Linked DNA regions of Rattus norvegicus. The protein of the gene in region 2 purifies or fractionates together with the protein of the main gene of each other region. This does not show direct contact. Links are inferred from orthologs where the notes say so. Each region holds a gene or a part of one and is shown on either strand. Other genes may lie near its edges. The genes, in order: Cryab and Casp3.

What was found.
Region 1: the proteins of Casp3 (region 2) and Cryab purify together in Homo sapiens (affinity purification with western blotting; 3 studies listed by BioGRID). This does not show direct contact. The link is inferred for Rattus norvegicus from reciprocal best matches to the Homo sapiens genes CASP3 and CRYAB.

Annotation. Positions count from the first base shown.
Region 1 is NC_086026.1:59,990,074-59,994,582, reverse strand, and holds the start of Cryab (alpha-crystallin B chain), read right to left. Parts: upstream 3,053-4,509; 5' UTR 2,724-3,052; coding exon 2,523-2,723; intron 1,496-2,522; coding exon 1,373-1,495; intron 1-1,372. Other genes in the region: Hspb2 (heat shock protein beta-2), read left to right, coding at 3,777-3,870, 4,294-4,509. UniProt on the Homo sapiens protein: May contribute to the transparency and refractive index of the lens. Has chaperone-like activity, preventing aggregation of various proteins under a wide range of stress conditions.
Region 2 is NC_086034.1:52,410,644-52,415,105, forward strand, and holds the start of Casp3 (caspase-3), read right to left. Parts: upstream 3,090-4,462; 5' UTR 3,049-3,089; exon of another isoform or gene 3,044-3,048; intron 1-3,043. UniProt on the Homo sapiens protein: Thiol protease that acts as a major effector caspase involved in the execution phase of apoptosis. Following cleavage and activation by initiator caspases (CASP8, CASP9 and/or CASP10), mediates execution of apoptosis by catalyzing cleavage of many proteins.

The DNA.
Region 1 (4,509 bases), on a different chromosome or scaffold from region 2:
TATAAGGTGACCCTATCAGTGACACTGTGGTCCAGTCCTAAATCATGAGCAAAACCGAGGTATTGATTTTTGTTTTTTGTTTTGTTTGAGATAAGTAGGGTTTCTCTGTTGAGCTCCTGCTCTCCTGGAACTCATTCTGTAGTCTAAGCTGGCCTCTAACTTAGATCTGTCTACCTCTGCCTCCCAAATGTTGGGATTAAAGGCATGCACCACCACGGCACAGCTGAGTTATTTTTTGTTAAGATTTTTTTAATTTTATGTATGAGCACTCTATCTGCATGTACACCTGCATGCCAGAAGAGGGCATTGGATCCCATTACAGATGGTTGTGAGCCACCATGTGGTTGCTGGGAATTGTATGCAGGACCTCTGGAAGAGCGGTCAGTGCTTTTAACTGCTGAGCCATCTCTCCAGGCCCTAAGTCATTAATTTTTTTTTCTTTTCTTTTTTTCGGAGCTGGGGACTGAACCCAGGGCCTTGCGCTTGCTAGGCAAACGCTCTACCGCTGAGCTAAATCCCCAACCCCAAGTCATTAATTTTTTTTTTTTTGGTTCTTTTTTTTCGGAGCTGGGGACCGAACCCAGGACCTTGCGCTTCCTAGGTAAGCGCTCTACCACTGAGCTAAATCCCCAGCCCCCCAAGTCATTAATTTTTAAGAAGCAATCATAACACCTTTTTAGGAAGTCAAGAAAAAAAAATGCTAAAAATGCAAGAGGAATTGTGGATGCTAATCCTGTTACCTATTGAATCCCAAGTACCCCAAGCATCCACACAAACAAATCTCAATTAACTTCCTCACAGCCATAAGCCTGAAGCTCTGAAAAGCAGACAAACCAAGTAGCATAGCATTAAACTGAGCAGAAGAGGCATGGAATCCTGAACATTCAAAAGCCACAGATTTTATTGCCTTCGACTCCGTGGTGACTGTCATTTCGCAGAGCCATTATGTACAGCACACTGTGCCTAGAGCAATGGCTGCCAGTTTGGGGTACAGAAAGTACCCAAGGAGTGAGTTTGTTTGTTTGTTTGTTTAAAGGTTGATGCCTGAGCTATGTCCCTAAAACTTCAGATTCAATTGGCCTAGGATGTGCTGAGGGTTGGGAATGTTGAGAATTCTTCTGCTATTCTGACGTCACTGGACAAGACAAGGCAATCAAAAGGAACATCCAGGGGAAAGTTCTCTCAGCACAGCCACAACACTAACAGCAGATCTAGCCCTAACTTGTTTCCCAGCCATTGATCTATAACTCCTGATCTAGTCTTATGTTTGGGGACTGGAATTCTGCCAGCCTCAGAGGCTGGTGGCGGCAGTCCCTGGCATCCAGCAGGGCACTAAATGAATTCACAAGAGAAGGCAGAAAGGTCCACACACCTGGCGCTCTTCGTGCTTGCCGTGCACCTCAATCACGTCTCCCAGAACCTTGACTTTGAGTTCCTCTGGAGAGAAGTGCTTCACGTCCAGGTTCACAGAGAACCTGTCCTTCTCCATACGCATCTAGAATAACAAGGGGGCGGAGGAGAAAAGATGGTAGAATGTCCATTAAGCTGGAGAAGGCTCATCGTCCAGGAGATTTACTTCCTGCCCTGGTAATCCATCCTCTACCTGGCTGCTGGGGGAAAAATCCTCTTATGACTAGTGACACTGGTATATGTGAGCCACCATGGTGATACCCAAAAGACACCTCTTAGTCATCCATCAGTCCCAAACTTTACCGAGAGGCACAGGGAAGAAGACGGGTCAGTAGGAGACTAGTCACAAGAATGGGTCTGGGGATGGCATCTGCTGCCTCTCTACCCAGTGCTGGCTTTGTCATTTGTCTATAAAACAAAAGCCCCCTTTTTCTTGTTCAGTTGCCTGCCAAGTTTCCAACCCACTCGATCTGGAATGTTCTGTCCTTCCAAAGCCCTTGCTCACTCAGCTCCTGTTTCCTCACACGCGAATATTTTTAAACCACAGTGTTATCTGTGACAACCTCTGTTAATCTTATCTCCCACGCTGCTGAGATAAGAAGTCAGGGCTTCCCAAGAGCGGTCCTCTTAAGGCATGGACTGAAGTCAATGCACTGTCTCAGCCCCGAGGAACCCGGAAAGTCATAGGCCAAGGAAGAGAGAGAGAGAGAGAGAGAGAGAGAGAGAGAGAGAGAGAGAGAGAATATTGATTGATGTATCCAGCTCCATCAAAAGGAAGTGGGGAGGAAAGAAGACAGGAAAAGCCCAGAATGAGTGGGTTTCTATCTGATCTCTACAGTTTGAGATGATAAAATCTGCCAGGACTGGGACTATTAAAGAGGTGGGTAAAGGAGTTGAAAGAGGAGAAAGAGGCACCATGCACAGAAAAATGGACCAGGAAACAGGAGCATCAAACAGAAACAGGTGCCCACAGGAAGAAGAAAACAGTAACCTCATTTCTCTGTACCTTTGCACACGCACATGCCTAAAATGACTTAGGCAGGGTGAAAGGGCAAAGGAATGGAGAGACCAGGAAGGATACGTATTCCTGCCCTGGCACAAGGGAGACTTACCTCTGAGAGCCCAGTGTCAATCCAGCTAGGTGCCCGCAGGAAGGAGGGTGGCCGAAGGTAGAAGGGGCTCAGGGAAGTGGCTGTAGAGAAGAGGTCAGACTCCAACAGGTGCTCTCCGAAGAACTGGTCAAAGAGGCGGCTTGGGGAGTGGAAAGGAAAGAAGGGACGCCGGATCCAGGGGTGGTGGATGGCTATGTCCATGATGGCTAGATGAGTGTAGAGTCGGTTAGCCGGTCAACTCCTTCAGCCGCTGCTACAGCCTGCCCCTTATATATGCAGTCTTGTGAAGCTTCTGGAACGGTGATGTCAGGGGTTTTATTATCCCAGCTCCCCGACAGTTCATGGGGACTTGTGATCAGGGATTTGGCAGGGTGACACATACCCAGTACTCACTGAGCTAAGAAAAGAGAAACACGGGGCAGGGCTGAGCTGGCCGGTGACTTGTCACGGTCTTGTTTCACTAGCTCTCTGTCCACACCTAGTGGCACCCACCCACCCCATCCTTGTTCTCTGGAGCCAGGACAGGGTCTGGAATCCCAAGCAGCTGCTGGTGGGCCCCTCCTCCTCTCCAGTCTTGCATGCCAGGGGAATTGAGCCAGCAACTATCTTGGGCCTGGGCAGAGGCTGGAATCTTCCTGGGCTGAGCCCCAGGGACATTAACTCTTTGTGGAGTCCCAGAGGAGAGCTGTGACCACCAATATGTCAGAACTAGGTGTCTGACTGGAACCCCGAGTTGATCTAGGTTCAGAAGACCCTGACATTAAAAAGACAGAAAATGTTTCTTGTATTTTTGACGTTCTGTGGCTCATAGAACATTGTCTTTTTTTTTTTTTTTTTCTAAGTAATGTGCTCAGTGCCTGAGACTGATAAGGACAAAGGGTGATGTGGAATGTACAATTGGTGAAGGGCCCAACCAGGCCTCTCCTTGCCCTCCTGCAGCGCACCAGTTTCTCTTCCCAGCTTACTCTAGGACCAGGACCCTCAGCTGTTCTTCCAGGCCTATGCGACAGCTGAAGGGTATACAGAGGAGGGGACTTAGGGGGTCCAGGCTGCGCTGATCACACCCTCATAGCTGCACTCTAGACTTAGGCTCCCACCCCTCCCCCATCCCCCAGACGCTCTGCACTATTTTGGGTGGTGTAGACCCCGCCCCCACTCTGACTGAGTCCTGGCTCTCCCTCTGAAGCTGGAGGGGTCGCCTTGATCTTGTTGGGGCTACACTTGGGATCAGGGCTACTAGTCGCAACAGCAGTCATGTCGGGCCGCACAGTGCCACACGCCCACCCAGCCACTGCCGAGTACGAATTTGCCAACCCTAGCCGCCTGGGCGAGCAGCGCTTCGGAGAAGGTATGGCTCAGATGCTTCCTACCCCCACCTCCGGAAATTCTGGGCTCACTGCCCAGCTTCACTGGCCTCCACTCTACCTGGGGCTTAAGTGAACTCCTGAGGTGAGCCATCTCCCACCCCAGACTCCCCCCTCAAGCAAGACTCTCTCTGGTCTTGCTAACAGACTTCAGGACCAAACTTTAGATCGGCAGGGCTTTCGGTGTCCGGGCCTTGCACGCTTCAGAGTATTTTCTGGTTTTGCTTCTGTCCTCCAGTTCCAGCTCGCTTTTTCCGTAACCATCTCCTCTCCTTTCCCAGCCCCTCTACAGTTTCCCACCTGCTCTTCTAGCCCATATCTCCAGATATCGCCTTTCAGCCCTGTCTGTGCCCGCTGCATTCTTCCTCATCCTGCCTCTTGCCTTCTCTTTCTTTCTCTGCTCCCAGGCCTCCTGCCAGAAGAGATCCTGACCCCCACCCTCTACCATGGCTACTATGTTCGGCCCCGGGCCGCCAGAGCTGGGGAGGGCGGCAGGGCAGGGGCCTCAGAGCTCAGGCTCAGTGAAGGCAAGTTCCAGGCATTTCTGGATGTGAGCCACTTTACCCCAGATGAGGTGACCGTGAGGACTGTGGACAACCTGCTAGAGGTGTCTGCCCGACACC
Region 2 (4,462 bases):
AAAAATCGTTCTCAGTGTATGTCACCAGTGGTTGCTTTTGTTTATTCTCATATCTGTTCCATCTGGTCTCAGTTCCTTTGGGGGTTCATTGAACTGGCTGGTGTCAACCTTATAATGTTTATGAAAAGATAGCTGGAAAGGAAAAGAAAATATGGAGAACATATCATAGGAACAAATAAATCATCTTGCTTTCTTGTTTCTGGAATGAATCACACAACCAGGAAGGCAGACCAGCCTGATGAAGCCCTTTGTCTACAGCTAGACCACCCTGAACGCGATGGATCTCGTCTAAGGAAGCTCTCTGACCTTGAGGCACAAGCTGGAAAGAATGTGGTGCTTACTATCTGCAAAGGGTCTGTCTTGTCCTCTCCCAAGCGAAACCTTTAGAGGATAAACCTATATGCTCTTAGGGATGTGTAAGAATTACTGACCTGTTTGAAAACAATTTGTTGTTGTTGTTGAAATAAAAGTAGAGTGGAAGATCCTTAATGTCTTTTATAAAAATGACAGATAGCCATGTAATCTACTGAATATCAACCGTTGAACCCTCAGCGTATTAAGTAGTGGAAGAGGCAGACCCTATCCCTATACAGAGCTTATATTCTTGTTTGCTGGTATCTAAAAACAGCAGCAAGGCAGATGTTAATTAGCCCACATTTAGTCCTTATTAGATAATTTCGTTGTACTTTAGCAGAATGAAGCTCTCCAGGCAATATTGAAGACCAAAACAAAGAGGTCAAAACAAGAACTATTATGGAGAATGTCACCCTTAACAAAACATTGTCACACATACTATTTCATCTGATCTTTACAAAACCCTGTGAGCTATATAGATTATGCTTTCTTTATGAAGGAGCAGGTAAGCACCCAGGTCCTGGCCTCAGACAGTCAGATGACAGAATACTCTTTCCTCTCCAAAAATATTTTTTAATCTGTTAAAAGACTATATAAAACAGTACTTAAGAATGTAAAAATTTCCACATCATCTTTCAACCTCTATCACTGGAGTAGAACTTTAAGTATTATCTGACAGGAAGACCAGAACTAATGCAATGTGTTTGAAGAAAAGACTGTATTGTAACTTTAGAAAGCGGGTGAAGTGAATATGTTGCTAAGTTTGAAACCATAGAGTGGCACTGGAACCACTCAGATCAGATAAAGATATAGGGTTCTTACTTAAAATGGCAGGAGACAGAAACTTTCTGCAGGACCACAAAGCAATCTGATTTAATTAGGTGCAGAATTTCACTTGTTACTTTGTACCAGTTGAACTGCTAGGCTTCAATAAACTTCCACTAATTAAAACACATTCTCACTTTGCAAAAGCCTTATTCTGCTGGACAGCAAATCAAAGCCTTTAAAGTTTCAACACTGGGTTGTGACAGGGCTCTACCATTAACACATCCAAAGTGGCTTCCCAAAGGCTGGCCACACCCCCAGTTTAGCATCTCCTCGGCTATTTTGTATACTCAAACTGTAACAACGGCCCCACATTTCCCACCCACCAAAATCTCCTAATCCACATTTTAATCAACCATTTTGCTGTAATAAAACAAATGGTTGAGCAATCACTTGTGCAAAAAACCCAGTAAGGAAGGGCACCATGCTAAAATTAGTGCCTAGCAGTGTTTGCTCACAGTTCTGTAGGCAAACAAACAAGCAAAAGTAGAGGAAATGACAAGGCTGCTTTCAGGAAATGCCTGCCCCAAAGGAAGGAATGGGAAGATTCAACCTTGAATTGTTAACTAAGAACTGAAACCTCCGAAGCAGCTCCTATTCATAGACAAATGTATCAGTGGGGAGAAAAGGTGAGACGGTGCACTGAGGGAGCAAAGAAAAACCAAAAGGACACGTGATTAAAGGATAAAACGGGGAAGACAGTCAAGACCCAGGGTTTGGCTTTGCCAACCCGGTTAGAGGATAGGCTTTTACCCTTAAGCCCTAAGGGTAAACACGAACAGCTAGAAAACTGTTTTTGTTTATGTTTTAAGGAGTGCACTGGAGAAGAACCTTGGGGGGTGGGGGGGAGGCAGAAACCTGCAAGGAGGTTGCTTCAGTTCCCTGAGGTGGGTAACAATCTGGCAGACACCTAGAAAGTCCACAAGACTCAGAAGGGTCAGCCAGGTATAAATCTGTCAGATTCATAGGTCTACAAGGCTCAGTGACTAACAGCGGAAGTTGGGTCCTGAGAAGGTCCCTGAGAAGGGTTTCCTGGGTGACTCAACTAAGAATGAGGTAAAGACCCTGCTGCTCAAGTCGGACTTCAGAGGAGACCAACTAATAAGTGTGAAGTAAGGACAAGCTCTCTGTGCATGGTCCAAGAGATGTCAATGCAAGCTCCTACAGTGACTGACCAACAAAGGAATAAGGTGGAGTATTTAACGAAAGGCTTCAGGGTAAGAAAGAGAGTTGGAGGAGCAATGCTTAAAATTAGCTCTCCACAAGAACCAAAGATGCCACTGGAAAAGACCAAAGGTAGAGACCAAATACTCTTGTAACAGGGAGGCTGGGTCCCTTAGAGCCGCCTTAAGGTCAGCATCAGCCTATTCTTCAGGCCCCAGAGCAGAACTTCCCCTACCCATCCTCTGCTCCGGAGTCCACACTTCAGCCTGCAACTCCAGGATCCCGCCACCTCCAGCCACACGGCTCCCAGGCTCACCCCAACTATGGACTCACCCCCTCCCACCCCTGAAGCTCGGTGCCCAGGGCAATCTCCGGATCCCCGGACTCCGCCTTTTGCGCCTCGGCGCGGCCCCTGCGCCATATTCGAGGGTCTGAGTCCTGCCCCGGTTCACCCAGGTTTAGGGACACCAGCTTGGCCTCCCGGGTCTGGGCTCCCAGCTCCAGACCACGCTACCGGCGCTGTTTCCAGCTTCTCTGCCTTCAGTGCTTGCCTGAGCAAGCCTGGAGGCAACACAAAGGATCCTCCGCCCAGATCGCCCGTTTCCCCCGCCTCTTCCTAGGAGCTGCAGACTGGGCGACAGAGCGCCGGCTCCCGGTGGCAACGCAGGTCCTGGAAAGCGCGAAAGCAGCAGACACTCACCGTACCGTTCCAAGCTCCGCACCTCAGGACACTAAGCTTTGATCCCACCAACACCAACACTGCATCAGCAGCCTACCGCCGGTCCCGCCCACGCCCCGCCCACGCCCCGCCCCCTCGACCTCCTCCTCCTTCTCTTTATCCCCTCCCCCAACCCTAATTTCCAGCGCGCCAGGACTGCAGCCGAGCCGCGGCAGCGCAGGCCCCGCCCACCGATGGCTCACCCTAGAGCCCCGCCCCCTCCGGCCCCGCCCCCTCGCGGGGGTTTCAAGTTCTGGTTCCCGCCATCTCTGCCTCCACCATCTGCCGCCTCCGGCCGACTTGCACTGCTTGAGGTAAATTTAGAGAGGTCTCTAGGCCAGGCCTGATTCCAGGGTCACAAAGGTGGGCGTTCAGGGAGACGCCTCTGTCAGTCAGAGCTCCGGCCGGAGAAAATAGGGCTAAACCCCCGCACTCGCAATCTCTACTTCCTCTCAAATGAACCGAGGCCTTTCTTCCGCCTAACTCTTGCTCCCTCAAGTCAGAAGCCCTGACTACCTTACTGAAATCTCCGACTGCTTTGGGTCCTATTTCAGACTCTGACTCTGAGAAGTGTTTTTTGCATAATATACGAAAACATGAGCAAAGCAGTCAGTATACTTCAGGGGCCCAGGATACTCTGAGGACAAATTCACTCCATAGAGCAGTAGCTTGCTTGTCCCCAACGCAATTGCTTGGTCGGATGTGAGGGACTGTAGTGTACGTAGGTACCCAAATGTCTACCATTCGCTGCGTGTGGAATTCGAGCTCTTACATTTCCATAATACATTTCTTAGTTTTTCCAGTTCCAACAGAGGCTTTAAAAGGATAAGTGGTTTGCCCTTCTGAAGAGCCATAGTAGTTAAATGCAGATTCCAGAAACAAATTAATCTATCATCATCCCTCTCAAAGTGAGTGAGGATCAGCCAGTTTCTGTTGGGAGAAACTTTCGCATAGGTCGCACTCAACCCTAGCGATGCTTCGTGGAGGCTGTAGTTCACAGGGAAAAACTAATTGAGAAATCCTGATCTCCTTGTTGGGCACTGACCCATCCCTGTGCCAAACGTTCTTAACCAAATGATACCTTAGATGAAGTATCCTCAGCCGTTCTCTCCGTTATGTTGACTTCATCTTGTTAAAGCAAAACAGCTGGAGGTGGTATTTTTCGTCTGAGCCCTGTAATTTCTCCTCACAGCCAGGACCCATAGGGAGCTGAAGTGGTTCTGGGCCTCAAGAGAGAAAAAAATCATGAAAAGCAATATGATGCTTTCCAGGTTGGGCAGCTGGAGTAAGAGGGCTTCTGAAGTAGTCTAGGAACAGGGAGTGGGCCTTAGCTTCCTTCCATTTGGTGACAAAACTGAACTAGAAGTATAATAGATAAACGTTTTCAGGCCTACATCTGCA